4 linked regions of the Caenorhabditis elegans genome follow. The protein of the gene in region 1 interacts with the protein of each later gene in a biochemical or structural test. Each region holds a gene or a part of one and is shown in the gene's direction. Other genes may lie near its edges.

Region 1 (6,471 bases):
AAATATAACTGTTAAAAAATGTAGAAAATGTATGAAATTTTTCTAATTTTTTAATGATTTTTTTCTTAATTTTACAAAAATTTAAAAAAAAGGACTGAATTAAATTTGAACTCCCGCGCAAATGAGTGACGTCATTTTCGAAACTTTTGCGTTTTCAGCCTATATTAATAGGTTTTTCTTCATTTTTCCTTTGTTTTATAATTTGAAATACAGTCTGTCAATTTTTCAGACTAAAAGAAAATGTATGATTAATTTTGAATAATTAAGCCAATTTCAGAGTTTCGGTAAGTTTCTTCGCAATTATCAAGTTTGAAAAATGTTTGAAAAATTGAAAAATTATGTTTCAAATTATAAAACTAATTGTAAGAATAAAGAAAAACCAATTAGTTTGGCCGTAAAACACAAAATGTCGAGAATGACGCCATTAATTTGTGCGAGAATTCAAATTTAAATCGGCCTTTTTGAAAAAATCATAAAAAATTTATTATTATTTTTTGATTTTTTAACAGTTATATTTGGTAAATTGGGACTGTATTCTGTCATTTATGGCAAAAAAACCACTACTTCACCTTATAATTTAAAATTATCCAACTCACTATCTCTGTGTTTCATTTTAGCATCGAGTTATCACTTCCGATGACTAACAAATGGGAAATCTAAGGAATAATGCAGAGATTGAAAAGAATTAGAGAAACAAACAGACAAAATCAAGTATTATTTAACAATTGTAAAGAACAACCAAAAAACCCCACAGGAAAGACCACACAGAATGTGGACCCACGACTTTGGGAGATTAGGCACCTACGAGATTTCATGGCCCAAGTTAATTGGGTAGCGCTTTGAGTTGTCATAAATGTTAATAATTGAGAAAAAGATATTTAAAACTTAAAACGTACATATTAAACTTATTTCTTATAGAATTTACTTTCAAAGCTTTTATTATAGGCGGTCGATTTGTTCTACGGCAACTCTATTCTCCAAAACAGAGTGGTGTCTCTTTTCTGTCTGATTCTCTACTTCTCTACACATTTTCAATCCTAGGTGTGTCTCTCTCTGAAGGATGAAATCTCTATTTCTCTGCATCTCCTATTTGGCTTCAGCCTATCGCTTCTCTTCCGCACACAAACATTCACTCAGTGACGTAACTTTTAATACCTACACTATTTCTCTCTTTCGCATTGTCAACTTATATATATATATATGTATATAGATCATTCCTGTACTATTTAATTTTTAATTATAACTTTTTAAAAAGGTTATTTATGATTTAAAAAAAACAAAATCTAAAGTGTCTTTAAAGTGTAAAAGTAAAAATTGGCAGGCTGGGTATACTGCCTTTTTTCTTCAAGTTTTCGAATCTAAGTAAAAATAAAAAATTTCCCCTGCTTTTTTAATACAATTTTAGTTTGAATTTTACTTGTTGAGAATAATAGACTTCAATTATCTCGATGCAGTATTATGTATTTCACTAATAATTAACAGCAAATACCTCAAAATTACCCCGAACTCGAACTATTGCTAGAATAAACCATTCGAGTAACCCGTGTATTTATTGTAGAGTTCGTGAGAAAAGGATTAAAGGATTAAAGGACGATCCGTTCTTCAAGCGCTATGCACTGCGGATCTGGGAGTCAGGTACACTGCCTGGTGGTGATCCCACTAAAAAAGTAATTAGAGTATTATAGAAAAAATACGATCGCCCAAAAATAAACAACGGCGCAACGACACTCCGCTGTTTCTGAGACCCGCCCACGATTTCATTTGCACTGCGGCCGACACATTTCAGTGCAAATGAAATCTTGGGCGGGGTTTAGAAACGGTGGAGTGTCATTGCGTCGTTGTTTATTTTTGTACGATCGTATTTTTTCTATAATAAAGGTTTAAAAAAAAGAAACACACTATTGGATGTTACATTCCAGTCAACTTGATACCTAAAATATTTAAATTTTCCATTGAAATTAGTGTTGACTTTTGTTTCCTAAATACGAACATCCTTTCAAAACCAAGCGCAAAAAGTGTAAGATCATTCACAACTGAAGTCAAATTTTTGAAGTGTGAACATTTTTTGCGTCATGCAAATATGAAATATGAGTTTATGAGTCGATTAAAAAACATAAAAACCCAAACAAAAACGCTGAAATTTCATTAAATGTTAAAAAATGACTTCTTTATTACAAATCCAAAGTTATGATTAAACATTTAAAGATTAGCTGCAAAGATTATTTATTAAACTACATATCTTTCTATTTTTAGTCTATTTTTTAAACATTGTCAGGTTTAGTTTGCACTTCAAAAAATGAAAACTGTATTTCACTAACAATATGTACATATATCCCCTCCCTCATTTTTTTTCACTCCAGAAATGGAAAGTCAATATTTGGAAAGAAAATAATTTTCCAAACTGTTAGAATCTCCGTTTTTAAGATTTATTGATTTCTACGTGGGTTGAAATGACTCAGTTTTGATGAAACTCAACAATTTTAAGGCATTTTTATCAGTTCCGGTTGGAAAGGAAAATCAGAAACATTTTTGCAAGTGATAAGAATTATGAAATTTTTATAGATTTTTTCAAACGTTTATTTGGAAATTGAAATTATACTTTTAAAAATTTAAGAAAAGCTGAAATTTAATGACTAACGTTTATATTTAATTTTTGAATTTTAAGTATTTCTCCCTGAAACTAATAACTTTTTAGGCACAATAAGATGGAAGTGGATCTGCCGGTACATAACGAGTATGATGCGTCTAGATTTCATCAAGTTACAATTAGGGTTTGTTACTAGATACTTTACCTCCATTCAAATTCATTTTCAGGACCCGATAGCCGGCGCGGACAGCACTTTCACTATTCCAACTCGTTATGTAAACCTTAGTTTTCTGAATGCCGGCGCCCAAGGAACTGTCGTGTGAGTTTTTACTAATTACATTAATATTTTATTGAAGGAAAAATAATAGGGCGAATTTTTTAACGCAGTAAACAAAAAATTTCAATAGACAAACAAATATTAACACTTCAAAGATGTTAATCAAAGATTTGATAGATTGCCAAATTTTCGAATAATTTTTACTTTTTCAAACATTTCACACTTTACTGCAAATTATAGCCCCAATAATGTTCAAATACCAAAAGATAAAATAAATTTTTTGAAAGAACTATGAATTTTAGTCATTTTAGAAACATATGGCTGGTTTCAGAGAATCCTTTCTCTGGTCGTACTCCATCTTTGAATGTCTCACTGCCTTTCAATTGTATATTTTTACACTTTAACTTTTCTTCGGTTTTGCGTAATTTCAAACACTGACACAATGATGACTTCCCGAAAAAAAACGGACCGCCCTATCAAAAAACTTTTAAAACAGGTAGAGGTCTCGAGATCATTGTTATTCGTCATTGCCCGCTGCTCCACCTCTAAGATTGAAAAAGCTTGAAAAAATCAATAATCAAGAAGATCTTCTAGAAGAATGAAAGTGACTGAAATTAAATTATCGCGCAAATGACTTCAAACAGAATTTCTAAGTTAAGTGAACAGCCATAATTTTTATTGATTACATTTAGAATGGCCGATGACCTAGTAACAACGCAACGTGTGGCAATCAAGAAGATGCAACAACCATTTGTGATGACAATGAGCGCAAAGCGAGCATATCGAGAGTTTATACTGCTAACGACTATCAAACACCCAAATGTAAGATTCAGTTGGAATCTAGAAAAAATGCTCCAAATTTCAGATAATCCGTCTACTAAACGCGTTTACACCGGACACTTCACTTTCAACGTTCCGAGAAGTATATCTAGTTATGGAATTAATGACACACAATTTGCACGAGGTTATACATCGATTAAGGTAAGAGACATGGTGGCTGATTTTTATGATTTTTTTTCAGTAATACCAATTTTTATAGTAATATCTAGTATACTAGACGTAATTTAAACTGTATATGATGGACTTGTTAGAGACTAATAGACGTAAAATATTATTTTTCTGTTATTGATTTTGAGAACAAAAGAATAAAAATAAAACAATAGGAAAAGCACGATATCTTAAAGAAGGAGTGGCGGATTCATTTTTGCTCTAATAAACTCAGAACGACTCCAAAATATCAACCTTTTTTGTCTCAATTTCACGTTTAATAAACATATTCAACAATAATAATAAGTTTATTGCTGACACTTTTCAACAAAAAAAACTTTTAAAAAAAGAAAGAAACAAGGGCAAAAGCTAGACTTTCAATTTTGCCGTCTTTCGCGTTTCCCAAGGTCGGAAATACATTTTTATCCAACCTTGAGTACCCACTTGGAAATGTGCCGAAACCATCATCAAAACACGCACAGTTAGCTACCAGAACACGCGTAAAAAAATAAAAAAAATATTCCAGCGTGTTTTGAAAATTTTTGGTCAAGATTTTAGTTAACTACCAAAAATCAGAATTTTTAAAAAAGTTTAGAACACTTGCACATTTGAGCTCCTATTCATGATTGTTCAATGATTCAATGATTGAATATTGAATATAAACACATAATTAGATTCTAAAAAAATTTTCTGAATTATTAGATTGGACCATAAAACATTATCATTCTTCGTCTACCAGAGTTTGTGCGCAATCAAGCATCTTCACAATTCGGGAGTCATTCATCGTGTACGTATCTACCACTATAGACAACATTCTGAAAAATTCAAAGTTTCAGGACTTAAAACCATCGAATATTGTCGTCAACGATCGATGTGTATTAAAAGTTTTAGACTTTGGATTGGCCCGGAAGAAGAATGTGGACACATCGATGAGAATGTCAGATTATGTGGTGACAAGATACTACAGAGCCCCCGAAGTTATATTAGGTCTTCCCTATTCGGAAAAAGGTTTGTTCGAAAAAAAAAAAAATTTTTGTAATTTTGGGCTGGACTTCCATCTGCGCTCCGGTGAGCCGCCTCAAACAGCCTCACGCCGTACGTATCCGCATGTAAAGTGCGCGTAAAACCCCAAACGTGTCGGCCGCTTCCAAACAACACTCTCAATTCATAATTGCAGTAGATATTTGGTCAGTCGGATGTATATTTGCTGAAATGATCAACCATACCGTACTTTTCCCTGGAAAAGATCGAATTGATCAATGGACTAAAATTTATAGTGTTTTGGGAACACCAGATGATCATTTCATTAGTCAATTGGGTCAGTCAGCTGCTATGTATGTTCGATCGTTGCCACGTCATCAGGCACGAGCATTCAGTGAAATCGTTCCTGATACCAATTTTCTGCCGGAGACTGAAAATCCAAGGGTCCATTTGACACGTGAGTCAGGCTATACAGGATTTTGAAAAATAAATCATATTTTCAGCACACGTGGCTCGTGATCTCCTGTTCAATATGTTGAAAATCAATCCTGAAGAAAGGTATTCAGTTGAAGATGCACTGAATCATCCATATGTTAAGTTGTGGTTTAAGGTACAACAATTTTAGCACTAAACAAAAACAATCAAATCATGCATCTCAAATCTTACAGGACGATGAGGTAAACGCCCCCGCATCAGAAAATCGATACGATCAGGAAATTGATTTTGCCGATAAGACACTTATTGAATGGAAAGAGCTAATTTTCAACGAAGTGCAACGCTATCAAGCCGACCACGACATTTTCACTGGATAATAAATAATAAAAAACCTAAAATTGTTTCTTTTTCTCTCAAAAATAATTGTGTTACTTTTTTCTTCAAAAATCTATCTTTCAGTTGTGTTCTGTCACTTAGTTGGCCATATTTTCTGGTGATTCTCTGCTTATTTTCTATATTGATTATAATCACTAAATGTTAATTATTTTGGAATACAGATTTTTTGGAACTGTTTTGTTTTAAGTATAAGAAATTGAACCTTAGCTCCACAAAATTTGCATCTCATTATAAAGTAGGGATTGTTTTTCGATTGTATTGTCAGGTTTAAATTCAAAATTCTAAATCAATAAATTAATTTTTTAGGGACCAGGTCCCCTATGAGGTCGCCACAGCGGCGCCCGCGCCGGCCTCACAGCGTCAATCACAGTGCATGTATCCGAATATATAGTGCGGCAGGGAACCCGATCGTGAAGTCCGCGCCTCACTTAGCTGGGAGACCTATAGGTTTTTTTTCTTCAAAACGATGCTTTAATTTTTGTTCTCAAAAACAAAATGAAGCCAAAATGGGAATCCAGAACGACCGGACATTAAATCACACAGATGGACAATGGTGGTCTTGAATAAGTACATTTATTTCACAAAAATTGAACATTCAGTAAAAGATGAGGTTTGAAGACTGAAAAGTGGGCTGGACAACAGAAAATCGACTTTTGGGTAGTAAAAGATTTTTGATATAAAGATGGGAAATAAAGTATATGGACATTTGGACAAAAAGAGAAACAGAGACGCCTTGAAATGTTTTCAAATGATTCTTTTAGTATTCTATTCTAGAATTAAGAAAAGCGGATGGAAAATATTTTTTTGG
Region 2 (4,811 bases), on another chromosome or scaffold:
CGGTGCGTGCACTTTCTATTTTCTTCCTTTTTTTCTGAATTTTTTATTTTCAGCCAGGCGTTTCCCTTTCGACGTAATTTGTTCTCGAAATCACCTGAAATGTGAATGGGTGGGCAGAGGAAACACAAAAAAAGAGAGAATTCAAATTGATTCTGATGTGATGCCATTTCCACTAATCTCTCAATTCTTACTCCCACCATTTTTTTGCAATGATTTCCGAATTTGTGACTGCTTTTTCGTTCCGATTTCATTTTGATGACCGTGTACAAAAAGATGAGCAGACAACCATAACGAACGCGAAATTGTATGGAATCGTGAGAGACATAAGTATGATTAGAGAAAATACGAAGTTATCAATTATGAGTAGATACTACTGTTGATATTGTAAATTGGAAAGTGAATCACAAATCATGACTATTGGAGACCAATGAAACACTTTCAGATTTATGTTCGAAACTTCGTACCCAACTTGGTTCCGAAATTGGCAAAACTTGGCCAATTCCTGGTTCACGAATGTACAATTCAAAAGCCTCTAGATATCAGCACAAATAAGCCAAATAAAACATGAAGTTAGTAATAATAAAAGATAATTAGCATCGATCGTGTTAGGCCGAATGACTATTCTTATGCAAATTACGGTGTTTCTATGAAAAAATTAAGTGCAAGTGCCGAAAAAAATCTACCAATCAAAATTAACTTTGCAAATGCGATACAAATTCCCAAATGCAATGAACTGATATCTACCGTACTTTCCAAATGGTATGGTACACGGTATGTTACCTTGAATAAAACTTGTTTTGATATCTAGACGAGTTGTTTGGTATGCTGAATAACATGGTAAAACAGTTCAAAAAATTAAAAAATGTTTGTAACTGTAGTCAAAATCTGGCTATTACTAATAATATGTTATCACGTATTACAAATATGAAAGATCTAGGACCGAACATGCAAAAATAGTATAAATTACTTTGAAAAAAAACCTTTTTTTTGCATTGTGCCAAAAACAAAACCTCAAACAATTTCAAAAAGAAAATCAAAATATGTTTAGATTTTGTAAAAATGATCTAGAGTATTTCTGGTCTAGTTGAAGTATGTGCAGACAAAATTCTCGAATGTCATAATCGAACACTCCAGAGTAAAATGTTCATTAACAGTTTTAGTAAATTGCCAAATTTTCCAAAAAATGTTTTCTGGTCGACTTCCAAAATTGGATTTACTGAAACATGAGTTTTTATTACTCTCGGTTTTTATTAATTTGAAAAACCGGATCAGAAAGCTTCAAACCCCTGCAAAAAACGTATTATATTTTAGTTATTATTGGGTGCATAAACAAGATCTATGGGTAAAAGACTAATGAGGTCAGGCCTAAAAAGAATGAAAAACAAGATGAGCTCTGAAAAAGCCAATGAACTTCCAAAAAGATAAGTGGCTGATGGAAAGGCAAATACAGAAGTCAAAGGAGCGGAGAGAAATGAGGGAAAAGAGACGGAGAACGTGAAGCAAGCACACTGACACATTATTTACGGTAACATTTTTCTGCGAACTTTATCCATTTCCTCTCTTTCTCTCTCCATTTACCTTTCTAAATGTCAATTGGGTGGTGGAAAGAGAGAATGAAAAATAGAGAGAATGAGAAACTTCTGGATTCTCTCAATTTTCAATGTTTTCTTTCAATGTTCGTTTGTCTATCTGCGTCTATGGATGTCATGGATCTGGAAAATAGAGAGAAAGAGATAGAGATAGAAAAAGAGAGAAAAAGGAAAAGAACGAGTCAGCAGAGGAAAAGAGACAAGAGTGAGTGTGCGTGTGACTCATTCTCGGGGCCCCCGCCGACTAACCCCCATCGCCATCGTCGTCAACCGATTCGTCATCAACTTCTCTTCCTCTCTATTCAATTCTTATTTGTCAAAAGGTTTTGAAATCAAAATAAAACAAAAATGGAAGAGGATCAAGAGGAACCACCATCCTCATCAACATCATCAGAATCTCCAGAAGTTGTTCTAAAAGCTCCAAAAGCTCCAACTCGAAGAAGGAAAAATTCCAAAAAGGGTTAGTTTGTTTGTCTAGTTCAAAAGTTTTGGAATACTTGATGATAAACCTGTCACAATAGGAAATGGACAATCATGGTTACAAAACTATAGTTTCACTACTATCAAAATGCCAAATTACAACTACCAAACATTTGTGATCTCGTGATTTTATCGTTAATTGATGAAGTTGTTTGTCAAAACATTATATCAATTTGTAGATCTATGTTTAATATGAATTCTTTGAACCCATAAAAAGTTTATGACGCGTGCCAAAAAAAACAGGTGGTTGTTAAAATTGTTTTGTATTTTTCTTAAATGATTTGTAAAATTAAATCATATTGTTTCTTACCAAATTGAAAGTTTTTCTATGCAACAATTTCCTTTCAACTGGACATAAAACACTTAAAAATAGAGTAAACGGTATAATCCTGGCTCCGCCCACTTTTATGAATGTTCATCATTACATTTTAATCATCACAAAAACTACGAGCGAGACTCTAATTCGGAGAGAGACGCAGTGATCGAGAAAAAAAAATCGAGTTGACACGTGATTTTCGATTCCAACGACGCAGCTACTGTAGTGATCGAAGCGGCGCACAGCTTTTCCCGCCCGTTCCATCTGGCAACTGTCTGCGTCTCTTCGTCTTATATGGTCTCTTTTCTTCGAACTGTTTTTTGTTGATAAACGCATATGCCTAGTTTAGCGGAAGTGTAGAGGCATTAGGGTTAGGATCTAGGAACTTGAAACTATATATATATATATATTCCTAGACCATATTCTGTAAACTTGGTAAATTTTTTGAACTTTCATTAAACCTAAATTCTTGATTAATATTTAAAATTGCAATTAACGGTAAAACTATGTTTTTTTGGAAAATCTCTACCTCCTACTCTAGCTTGTCCCCTAGCTTTACTTTGAAGATTTGTATTATTCAAATCCTTCAAAAAAAGCTTAAATATATTATGGTATACAAATCCGACAAACCTCATTTCTCTAAAACCTTCATCTAGAAATTTAACATATTTCAAACCCGACATTTTTTCACAAGAACTACCTAATAAATCACCACAATATGTCTCTCCGCCCTCTCTTGGTTTGAGAGCAATATTTCATTGGTTCGACCTGATTGTGCCAAATGATAAGACTAACAGCTGTTCCTTTCGGAAGTTTCATTATTAGCTCATCAGATCATTTTAGTACACTATTTGGGTTTTTTAAGGTTTTGTCGAAATTTATAGTTAGGTATTTTGAAAACGTTCTTCGAAGTCATATTGACAAAAGTACAATACGAAAATACAAAACACACTATAAGTACAGAAAATTCAAGCAAAAGTTCAAACAATGCTATTTTAAAATTGATTTTGAACGATCGAATGCTATAAAAAATCTAAAATGATCTTACAAATGGCTTATCCCGGCCCTTCGCTTCTCTATTTTACGTCGAATTTCTCGTTATCAAGATTTTTGCAAAGAAGATGTTTAAAAGTTTGTCTTGAAATTTTTTTTAGCTACGTGAGCTGAACTAATTTTCGATGCGTTTATTCTCGAACTTTGGTTTCTTAATTTCCATTTTATCCAGACATATTTTGTTCATTCGTTCTATCCGTTCCCATTCATTTCTTGGAATGAGTCATCGGGCTTTCGTAAATGTTTTGACACACACTTTGCCCCTTTTTTCCTTCCCATCTTTCAGTTTTTAGGCTCTGATTTCTGTTCCATAACATGCATGGGTAATGAGATGAAAGAGGCTATGGCAACTCTTGCGAAACAGTCATATGTTTGATGAAATATTCAGGCGAATCTCTGTTAGTATTTGTTCTCATTTTCTGCAGAAGTTGTTTCAATTTTAGAATGGAACCTGTAGGTAGTTAGTCATTTTGAACTCAGTTTTAGCTAGGTTACCCATAGTAGATCTATCTAGAGAGGTGCATCCTCAGGATCCACTGCCTGCCTCAAACCTACCCGCCCCTCCTGGCTTCATATTTTTGATTCAACGATGTTTGGCGCTCGAATTGTGTTAACTCATGAGTTATTAATATTTCTAGGCACAAGGCAGGCAAGGGTTGCCGTGAAGGCAAGCCAAGTTCCGATGAGGCGCATGAAGCCCTAGTTTCAGCCAATTCCCATCAAACCTGACACTAATCTTTAAAGAACATATTCATGACGTTCTGCTCGTGGAAGACTGATCTGCTCTAATATTTTCTTTTTGATGTTTATCTCTGAGCTTTTCTGGTTCTCTAGTTTCATCTACATTTTCTGTTAGAGAACATCTGAGAATCTTTTTCTTCTTCTCTTTTTTTCACTTTTTCTATTTTCCCACCATCATAAACACAAATTAAAGAACGTGCTTGGATGGAGCATTATGAAAGTTTTTCACTTTCCTTTTTCGTGTCGCGTATTCAAAAACTTTAAACAACATTTCCCACCAACTTTTTCTGCTAATCAGCGTAGTTCCAAGAACATCGTTAACATGTTTTGTTAATCAAATCTAACACGCGTTTCATGATCAATTGATGTTTGTGTTATGAAGTTATCTGAAACATTTTTCTTCATATATATTGAATCTATTTTTTTGTTATGCTTTTCTCGATTCCCGCCAATTTAGGATATATTCTTGTTGGAATTGTACTTCCTAAATGTGCTGATATTTTGGAAAACAATTATTTTCCGGGTCTTTTGATTTGATCTATGATTTTGCAGTGGCTGAATTTTAAATAATTATCAAAGAAATCATAGTTTTTGTAAATATACCTAAAGAACATAACCGTATTTTAATATGG
Region 3 (4,703 bases), on another chromosome or scaffold:
TAGAATTCCAATGTTTTCGAAACTTTTAGTTTTAATATAAATCTATTTCTGTTCAAACTTCTCTTTCAAATCTTCGTGTTTTCTACACCATTTCAAATTCATTCAAATTGTAATAGTGATTGTCTGATAGTGGGGGGATCATTCCATTTTCCTCCAATCGTCACTTTTTGCTTGTGGTTTCGTTGATTTTTGATGGCATATGATAAGAGATTGTCTGTTTGACCACATGCATTGCGAAATCCACAGTGCTTTTGGGCTGATTTTTTACGACGGTGGTGGTGGTGAAAAGATCCTGGATGCAAACAGGCACAGAAATTTGTGAACAGAGAGAGAAAGAGTAAGAGACGGTCATACAACAAACTATACACAAAAATAGTGAGTGATCAGCCGGTTCGACGCGCACTCGTAAGAGGGTACCTATGAATTATAAAGAGAACTATGAAAGAGAGAGAGAGAGAGAGAGAGAGAGAGAGAGAGAGAGAGAGAGAGAGAGGGGGGGGGGGGGGTACAGAGAAAGGGAGACAAAAGAGACCGTAACGGCGCGGCCGGTTCTCCACACCAGCAGCAGCAATCTCTCCTGGCGCTCTCCACTGTTTTGGGTACTGTTTTGAGGTCGATTTGTCTACACCTCTTATTGGTCAATACTATATTTGTATCTCTACAACTCTGCGCCTCTCCTCTCTGGTGTCCCTATGACGCAGGCAATTGTGAAGAAGTGAGATGAACAACGACTTTCAAAATAACATACCCTTCATTTTTAATACACATTAATTATTGTGATCTCTAGATTTATTAGACCTATAGGCTTTTTTTGGCAAAATTTTAGAAATTTTCCTTGTTGGGATCTGAACAGTAACAAGGATCTTGTAAACCAGTTCTACCAGGGAATTAACTTAAAATTTATAATTACAATTTTGCATTCAGGCAAGTTCGGTTTTGTTAAAGTCACCAATCATGAATTGTATGAAAACTAGCTTATAAAAACTGCATAAGAACATTGCAATCGCGAAAAGCAAGGAATCTTAATCTTAAAAACCCTAGCTATTCAACTATCGCAAGCCTATTTTTTGGTATTGCTCCAAGAGCTTAGATCTAAGTTGTCAGAGGAGCACGAAGGTGCACGACTAATAGGGAGAATACAGTACTTTCCAAAAATGTCTGGATTTAATTTTTGAACCATCTTCTTTCCTTGTAATCTACTTATCTTGTTCTATAGATGTCCAATCCCAAAACTCTCTGGATCAATCTGTTTTCTTTTCGACCTGTTTTTCAATATTTCTTCTTCTAATGTCCTATTGTACATACAAAAACCAACAACGTCTTTTCTGTTGACAAGTGCACGTCATTGCCCCCTCTTCTATCTTTTTTTCAATTTTCTCTCCTACTTTTTTGTGTCGTTTCACTTTCCCATCGTTATATTCTTACAGGTTACCTCCCCCTAATTCAGAATGGACGTACCGTCTGGGTCTTTGCTCTAAAGAAGGAGATTAGTATCTCCTTTTTGGTTCTGTAATTGAAATACAGTTATTGACAAAAAAAAAGCGCCCCAAACGATCCTCAACACTTGGAATCAATTGCAACCTGTGACAAGTTGGATTAACGTCCGAAAATACTTTTTTTCTGAAAATTAAAACAACAAAAGTTCAAGCTGGAGTCGTCAAAGCTCACGGCCGATCAGTTGAGCAAAACTGAAAAAATGCTCAAGGTGAGCTTTATTATTTTATTATTTTGAAACGGTAAATTTATAAATTAGGAATTTACAAAGTGTTCTTAAAGATATTTTAACAGCTATTGTGATGAAGTTATTTTTTTAATTGATTTTAATTTTTAATCTAGCCACTATTTTTTAATTTCACCGATTGCACTCTTTTTGGGATCAATCAGCAAGAAACTTACATTGGATCTTCAAAATGGGTAAAAATGTGTAGTTTTTTGGCGATGAGGCTCCACAACTAGGAAAAATGTATAACTGTAAATGTCATTAATCTTCATATTTTCAATCTATTTTCTTCATTTTCCGAACTGTATTTATTTAATCTAACTAGTAAACTATATTTTGTTTTCGTATCAATGAATTTTTCCTTGTAACTACAATTTAGTTTTAAATTCCGTAAAGGTTACTGTATAAGGTTATGACCAGTTTTTGCTCTTATTCAAATGTCGTCAAGCGAAATGATAACGGAACACCTCATAAAAACAAATAATGACGTTTTTCTTGAAGACTCTATAAAAGTCAGTGCTCCAAAAAACACTGCACTCCTCTGATTCACTGTTTAAATGATTTTTGCAACTTTGCACATTGTACCCAGTAGGTACTTGATGAATAACCCCAAATGTAAACATGATTTTTCAATTGATTAAGACTTTTTAAGTGTATTCTATAAGTTATAATATCAGAGAACAGATGATCAATTCCATAGTGTCTCTTATCAGCTGCGTGTTTTCTGCCGAGCTCTGGAAAATGTCAGTGATAAGGGAGAAAGGTATGAGTCGCTGACCGGTGCAAACACATGAACTTCAAAATCATATTTTGATGTCATTTAAGGAATCTAATTATTATAAGGAAAAGTGTGAAAAATGAAAATGACTCAGAAGTTAGAAAGAGGTTCGAGATTATGAAAGCTTCATTACTACCAAAAACATTAGTATGATAATTTTTAAAAAATAATAAGCTAGAAAAACAACACCAATTATCTTTCAGAAATTCAATAATAGCCGTTTTGTACATTTTACACCCAATTTCCTAAAATTTCCGAAAAATTGCGAATTGGTAAAACTTTCAGAAAATTTTTGTATCATAATTTTGAAAATCAAACAAAAAATTGTTCTCGAGTTTCATGTTTTAATTGAGTTCTAAAAACTGATATCTGAACATTCTAGAAGCTGGAACCTGTAAAATTGCTCTATAGCTCTGGAAACGTTTTTTTTGCTGTTAATTTGGCCATCTACCAACTGAAAATTTTTTAAAGTTTAAAAACTATTGGAGTTTTTAATTTAATATGATATTTGATAATGTTGGACTATTATTTGAGTATTCACATATATTTTTTCACTGCCGATGTACCTTTAAATCAATTAATTTAATTTGTTCCCATTTTGAATCTTTGCTTTCCATTCTGTACCCTTTTCCCCAAAATATTTATGAAACAATTTGTTCTTTCCTTATCTTCATTTGTTTATGACCTATTTCAAAGTTCAAAGGTTCTGTAAACATCGGGAATTTGCAATTTTTCCTAAATATTGTGTTTTTCTACAACAAAAGTGACGTTACACACATCATTCATTACCCCTTTTTTGTAGAAAACAGGTTTTTAGTTCTCTTGCTAAATAGAAAGGAAACTATTTTTTCGAAAGAAACAATGACGTGATTGAAAGTCTTGCAAAAGTGTAATCTGAATTTTAAAAGTGGGTTTTTTATTTTGAAAAACTGTTTTCAAAAATATAAATATGGGAAATATGAAATCATAATATTATCGGATTTTTTTAAATTTTAAATATTATTTTCAAATTGTTTTTCAGAAATTATTTTTTCAAATTTGTTCCATTTATAATTCGAACGAACTTTTCAATTCACTCCCCAACAGAGATCCATCTGTCGACTTTTTAACTTGTTTTTCTCTTTTTTTGTCCAATGTTTTTACGAGTAAAAAACTGTAGATCAAAAAGGGTGAAATGTGAATGTTTATGAATGTGGAAAGTTATAAATAGTGAATACGAATGGAATTTTTGTGTGAGAGAGATGAAAAAAATTGTTGATTTTAGAGTGGAATCGAGCAAATATATACAATCAGTCGATGCTCTCTGTTGTCGATCCATGCGTTCTCATTTTTGCCATTTTTCCTTGTCGGTGGTTTTTATTTTAGAACAAAGCAACTCTTTTCCTGGCCAAAAATTGTTGACTTTAATTAATTTAAGGTTATCTAGGGGTGTAAAAACATTCTGAAGGTTTTTTAGGTTTTTTGTTGTAAAAACTTTTTTACCCAGCTCGATCAAATAATTTTCCGTTTAAAAAATTTAAGTAAATTTTTAAATATTTTATTTAGCTGAAACAGTGGTCTGAGAATTTTTCAGATCTACTTTGCCATGACTATCTGCTGCCAAAAGCAGGTAAGCTTTTTCTGCCTTCATGGAAGCTTGAAATGTTTATTAAAATTCAAACGCTGTTTAAATTTAAATTGTTTGAATATGAATGTTTCAAAATTCTCAGTTAAAAACCTTCTCCATTCTAATTTTTTGTTCCGAATAGCCTACCTGCAATATTTCGGTGTGTCAAACTTTTGTTAAGGCAGTAGAAATTAGTTTCCAATTCATACGTATACTATTTTAGCGCTTGAGTTTTTGGTTTTGGAAATGTTATGTATTATGATGTTTTGATGGCTTCTTAATTTTTAAAAAATTGAGAAAAATTAAGAGATGCTTGACAATTGTCAAATTGTAAATTCAAGAATCAAAAAAATTGCCGTATTTTCTCTCATTCACTAGGTTTTTTTCGACTAATTTTGTAGAAAATTCTTAATTCTCTAGAGCTATTTCATTATACATGTGTGGTCTAAAACTGTTTAGAATTTTCGAAATATCCAATTCGCCGAATGTTTCGAAAATTTCGCAATAAAAGGGCACTGACAGCTGGAGGGTCCAATTTCAATACAGATGGCCGAGGTCTTCAGAAGGAGAAAAAAGATTCAAGGAATGGATTAGTGTTC
Region 4 (5,371 bases), on another chromosome or scaffold:
AGCTGGATTATGTATTGGAGGAGTCCCAATTGGCGAACAAGCTAAAGACGTTAGAGAGTGAGTGATTAGAATTTCGAATTTTATGATTTTCATTATTTTCAGTGGTATTCATATTGTTGTTGCGACACCAGGACGACTATCTGATATGCTTACCAAGAAAATTATAAATTTAGAAGTAAGACATAACTTCAAAGATTTCAAAAATTGCTTCAATTTATTACAGGTTTGCCGTTACTTAGTTCTAGATGAAGCTGATCGAATGCTTGATATGGGATTTGAAGATGAAATTAAATCAATTTTCTATTTCTTCAAAGCTCAACGGCAAACTCTCCTTTTCTCGGCTACGATGCCACGAAAGATTCAATTTTTCGCAAAATCAGCACTGGTCAAACCTATTGTAAGTTTTATTTATGCAATCGAGAAGTTTCAAAAATATAATTTTTTAACCTACTCCCAAAAGTTGTCATTCTTCAATTCTTAAAGAATAATTTTTCAGGAGTTTGTCTGTAAATTATAAATATTTTAGGTCGTAAATGTTGGACGTGCGGGTGCTGCTTCATTGAACGTACTCCAGGAGCTTGAGTTTGTTCGATCAGAAAACAAATTGGTTCGTGTACTTGAATGCCTTCAAAAGACTTCTCCCAAGTAAGATTTTATTTATCAGAAAATAATTAATTTAGAAATATGGCAACGGTTTTATATTTCAGAGTTTTGATTTTTGCCGAAAAGAAAGTTGACGTTGACAATATCTACGAGTACTTGCTTGTAAAAGGAGTTGAAGTTGCTTCAATTCACGGAGGAAAAGATCAAAGTGACCGTCATGCTGGAATTGAGGCATTCCGAAAAAATGAGAAAGATGTACTTGTGGCAACAGATGTTGCATCAAAAGGACTCGATTTCCAAGGAATTGAACATGTTATCAATTTTGACATGCCTGAAGATATTGAGAACTATGGTGAATTTCTTATTTATTTTTCATAATTGAATTTTTATTTTCAGTTCATCGAATTGGTCGTACCGGACGTTCCGGACGGAAAGGTCTCGCAACGACATTTATCAACAAAAAATCGGAGATGTCAGTGCTTTCCGACTTGAAACAATTACTCGCAGAAGCAGGGCAGGAACTTCCAGAATTTCTCAAAATGTTGGCTGGTGACGAGGAGGGAACTGCTCCAGCTGGCACAAATGCGGAAAAGGTAGTTAGAAAACATTTAGAAAATCGGGAAGTTCAACATGTTTTCAGGGATGCGCATACTGCTCCGGTCTGGGTCATCGCATCACAGATTGTCCAAAACTCGCTGGAATCGGAAACAAAACGACGCAAGCATTGGCAAGAGGTGGAGGCGACGATGGTGGTTTCTGATTATTTTATTCATACATTGTATCTCAATCTATTTATTTACTGTTTTCTTGTTTACATTTATAAAAATATTTGTCAGAATTGTACTATTTATTTCATGTTTAAAAAAAGTCTGGATTTCCGAGAAAACATGAAAATAATTAATTGATCGAGTTCATTGAAAAAGAAAAATGAATTAAATGCATTCTCAAAATTCTTTTTTTTAAAGGAGACACCACGGTTTCAAGATCTGATGGGAGTCCGGATCTACGTTTTCCGGATCTACCATTTCCGGATCTACGTTTTCCGGATCTACGTTTTCCGGATCTGGCACCGTGCAAACTCTTAAAACGCTATTTTTTCGAAGAAAAAAGTGACAACGACGCTCCGATGTTACGCGTCGCGTGTTGTTAAGCGTTTCTTCTAGAAGAAAATTTCGAAAAAAGTCGTGCGTTGAAAAGCGTTTTGTGCGTTGGCACGGTGCCAGATCCGGAAAACGTAGATCCGGAAAACGTAGATCCGGAAAACGTAGATCCGGAAATGGTAGATCCGGAAAACGTAGATCCGGAATCCCATCAGATCTTGAAACCGTGGTGCCTCTTAAAGAGTCGATTCTTTAAAGGAACACAGACTTTCACACCGTTTAGGTTTCGCCACGCGCCCCAACTACAGTAACCTCGACACACTCATCTACTAAATTTTGGGACAGTTCCTAATTCTTTTTGCTGTTTTCAACTCAATTTTCTGGAAAAATCTTAATTTTCTGCGAAAATGTCTGATGGTTGGAGTGATAGCGAAAGTGCTGCTAAGGGTGAGTTTTATTTTGAACTTTCCACCGGTTTTATTTTGATTAAAAACTTTATTTCAGCCAAAACTGGATTCGGTAGTGGAGGCGGTTTCGGTGGTGGTAACAATGGAGGATCTGGGTTTGGTGGTGGTAAAAATGGAGGTACTGGATTCGGTGGAGGAAACACTGGCGGATCTGGATTCGGTGGAGGAAACACTGGCGGATCTGGATTCGGTGGAGGAAAGACTGGCGGTTCTGGATTTGGAGGTGGAAATACTTGTGGATCCGGCTTCGGTGGAGGCAGTACAGGAGGATCGCCGTATGGAGGAGCCAGTTCTGGATTCGGTGGTAGTACTGCCACATCTGGATTTGGAAGCGGTGAAAAATCAAGTGCATTTGGAGGATCAGGTGGCTTTGGAGGTAGTGCAACTGGATTCGGAAGTGGAGGAGGATCCTTTGGAGGTGGCAACTCTGGTTTTGGGGAAGGAGGACATGGCGGCGGAGAGAGAAACAATAGTTCGTTTTTTAAATTGACTTTATATAATTACGTTTGTTTCAGATTGTTTCAATTGCCAACAGCCAGGACATCGATCGAGTGACTGTCCAGAGCCGAGAAAGGAAAGAGAGCCGAGAGGTTTTATTTTGATATAACTTTATTGGCAGTAATTTGTTTTATTTTCAGTGTGCTACAATTGCCAGCAACCCGGGCACACCTCTCGTGAATGTACAGAAGAACGCAAGCCGCGTGAGGGTCGCACTGGTGGATTCGGGGGCGGAGCTGGATTTGGAAACAATGGAGGAAATGACGGTTTCGGTGGGGACGGTGGTTTTGGTGGAGGCGAAGAACGTGGTCCAATGAAATGTTTCAACTGTAAAGGCGAGGGACATCGCTCTGCTGAATGTCCGGAGCCACCCCGTGGATGTTTCAATTGTGGCGAGCAAGGTCATCGCTCGAATGAGTGCCCCAATCCAGCCAAGCCAAGGGAAGGTGTTGAAGGAGAAGGACCTAAGGCGACATACGTGCCAGTCGAAGACAACATGGAGGACGTTTTCAACATGCAGAAAATTTCGGAAGGCCTTATGTTCAACAAGTTTTTCGATGCCGAAGTTAAACTGACTTCATCCGAGAAGACTGTCGGTATCAAACCTTGCAAGACATTCGCGGAAGCTAATCTCACGGAGACCATGCAGAAAAACGTTGCTCATGCTGGATACTCCAAGACCACTCCAATTCAGCAATATGCTCTTCCACTTGTTCATCAGGGATATGATATCATGGCTTGTGCTCAAACTGGATCAGGAAAAACCGCTGCATTCCTTCTGCCTATCATGACTCGTCTCATTGACGATAATAATCTGAACACTGCCGGAGAAGGCGGTTGCTATCCCCGTTGCATCATCTTGACTCCAACTCGCGAACTCGCTGATCAAATTTACAACGAGGGAAGAAAGTTTGCTTATCAAACAATGATGGAGATCAAACCAGTTTACGGAGGATTGGCTGTCGGTTATAATAAGGGTCAGATCGAAAAGGGAGCCACGATCATTGTCGGAACTGTCGGAAGAATCAAGCACTTCTGTGAAGAGGGTACCATCAAGCTTGACAAATGCCGCTTCTTTGTTCTTGACGAGGCTGATCGTATGATCGATGCTATGGGATTCGGAACTGACATCGAAACTATTGTCAATTATGACAGTATGCCGAGGAAAGAAAATCGCCAGACACTCATGTTCAGTGCCACTTTCCCCGATTCTGTACAGGAAGCAGCTCGCGCTTTTCTCAGAGAAAACTACGTGATGATTGCAATCGACAAGATTGGAGCTGCAAACAAGTGCGTCCTACAGGAATTCGAGAGATGCGAAAGAAGCGAGAAGAAGGACAAACTTCTAGAGCTTCTGGGAATCGATATCGACAGTTACACGACCGAGAAAAGTGAGTTTTTCGTTTTCTTATTTGATGAAATAAATTTCAATATTTCAGGTGCCGAAGTTTACACAAAGAAAACCATGGTCTTCGTTTCTCAAAGAGCAATGGCTGATACACTGGCTTCAATTTTGTCATCGGCTCAAGTTCCAGCTATCACGGTTGGTATATTTCATTTTTGACCGCTTTTTAATTCAAAATGTACAGATCCATGGTGCCCGTGAGCAGAGAGAGCGTTCAGAAGCTTTGAGACAATTCCGAAATGGATCGAAACCTGTTCTTATTGCTACTGCGGTCGCTGAACGTGGACTTGATATCAAAGGAGTGGATCATGTCATCAACTATGACATGCCAGACAACATTGATGACTATATCCATCGTATCGGAAGGTCAGTTATATTTTATTAATGTTTCAATAATGCAAGCATTGTTTTCAGAACTGGAAGAGTTGGAAACTCTGGAAGAGCTACAAGCTTCATCTCGGAGGATTGCAGTCTTCTGTCCGAACTTGTTGGTGTTCTCGCCGACGCACAACAGATTGTTCCAGACTGGATGCAAGGTGCTGCTGGAGGCAATTACGGAGCTAGTGGATTTGGGTCCAGTGTACCAACTCAAGTCCCTCAAGATGAAGAAGGCTGGTAGAAAACCGACCAATTGATAGTGTTTCGCATTTATTAATGCTGTCAGTTCCCCCATATTTTATCCTGCCCTTGTTGATTTTTAATTGTATTTGTTGGTGTTGGTTGTCGTTATAGTCCTCGCCGCATAAACTCTGTTCAATATCATGCTGTTCACGACTTCAACTATTAGTTGCATATTAAATGAAAAGAATTTTAACAAGCAAACTAGGCAATATGATCTCATATCACATTGCTCTCTCAGCTAATCAACTTCAATAATTTGTTTTCCGATTCTCCGCGGCGAGCATTTTTCCGCATACAGAAACTTTAGGCTCAATTCTTTATTTATTTTCTTTTTTGCTCTTCTCTCACTCGCTCATTTCCGGTCGATTTACATTCGTTTTTTCGCTTTCCTCTCACCTGCTTTTTTGCTCCCGTATTTTTTCTGTTGGCTTTGCCATTCCATTTACGGTTTGCTCAGTGATCACAATCAGGAAATAGAGTTTGAGAAGAAGAGTATTAGGGAAAAGAGGAAGAGATGATGCTTAGTTTCTGTTTCGCTGTGGCATTTCCTGTGTGCTTGTCTATCAATTTCTTCAAATATATTTTTAGTAATACTGTAGTAAGGTGTATTCTCAGTAGCACGTGGTGGGGTCCCACTGCGAGAGGGGTACTGTAACATACAATTTTTTGCGAAAATG

What was found.
Region 2: of the proteins of kgb-1 (region 1) and jun-1, one has a biochemical effect on the other in vitro, tested with the Caenorhabditis elegans proteins (one study listed by BioGRID).
Region 3: of the proteins of kgb-1 (region 1) and vhp-1, one has a biochemical effect on the other in vitro, tested with the Caenorhabditis elegans proteins (one study listed by BioGRID).
Region 4: of the proteins of kgb-1 (region 1) and glh-1, one has a biochemical effect on the other in vitro, tested with the Caenorhabditis elegans proteins (one study listed by BioGRID).

What each region holds. Positions count from the first base shown.
Region 1 is NC_003282.8:405,121-411,591, reverse strand, and holds kgb-1 (GLH-binding kinase 1), read left to right. Parts: upstream 1-1,558; 5' UTR 1,559-1,635; intron 1,636-1,719; exon of another isoform or gene 1,720-1,830; intron 1,831-2,695; 5' UTR 2,696-2,705; coding exon 2,706-2,771; intron 2,772-2,814; coding exon 2,815-2,906; intron 2,907-3,556; coding exon 3,557-3,686; intron 3,687-3,729; coding exon 3,730-3,845; intron 3,846-4,553; coding exon 4,554-4,638; intron 4,639-4,687; coding exon 4,688-4,859; intron 4,860-5,028; coding exon 5,029-5,289; intron 5,290-5,335; coding exon 5,336-5,442; intron 5,443-5,500; coding exon 5,501-5,644; 3' UTR 5,645-5,971; downstream 5,972-6,471. UniProt on the Caenorhabditis elegans protein: Mitogen-activated protein kinase which is an essential component of the JNK pathway composed of mlk-1, mek-1 and kgb-1.
Region 2 is NC_003280.10:9,111,354-9,116,164, forward strand, and holds the start of jun-1 (Transcription factor jun-1), read left to right. Parts: upstream 1-1,803; 5' UTR 1,804-1,937; coding exon 1,938-2,049; intron 2,050-4,811. UniProt on the Caenorhabditis elegans protein: Transcription factor that recognizes and binds to the AP-1 non-canonical enhancer heptamer motif 5'-TTAGTCA-3'. Required for ovulation. Controls plc-1 expression in the spermatheca to regulate spermathecal valve dilation.
Region 3 is NC_003280.10:5,321,580-5,326,282, forward strand, and holds the start of vhp-1 (protein-tyrosine-phosphatase), read left to right. Parts: upstream 1-1,696; coding exon 1,697-1,705; intron 1,706-4,703. UniProt on the Caenorhabditis elegans protein: Acts preferentially on the c-Jun N-terminal kinase (JNK) and p38 MAPKs. Plays an important role in the heavy metal stress response and in axon regeneration by negatively regulating the kgb-1 (JNK-like) and the pmk-1 (p38-type) MAPK signaling pathways.
Region 4 is NC_003279.8:6,852,702-6,858,072, forward strand, and holds glh-1 (ATP-dependent RNA helicase glh-1), read left to right. Parts: upstream 1-1,776; 5' UTR 1,777-2,110; coding exon 2,111-2,150; intron 2,151-2,207; coding exon 2,208-2,642; intron 2,643-2,685; coding exon 2,686-2,760; intron 2,761-2,808; coding exon 2,809-4,059; intron 4,060-4,107; coding exon 4,108-4,211; intron 4,212-4,257; coding exon 4,258-4,439; intron 4,440-4,487; coding exon 4,488-4,692; 3' UTR 4,693-4,835; downstream 4,836-5,371. Other genes in the region: sacy-1 (RNA helicase), read left to right, coding at 1-57, 103-175, 224-397, 527-645, 708-955, 1,000-1,196, 1,244-1,363. UniProt on the Caenorhabditis elegans protein: Probable ATP-binding RNA helicase. May act redundantly with the P-granule component glh-4 to regulate the formation of the granular structure of P-granules in embryos. Plays a role in positively regulating the localization of pgl-1 to P-granules.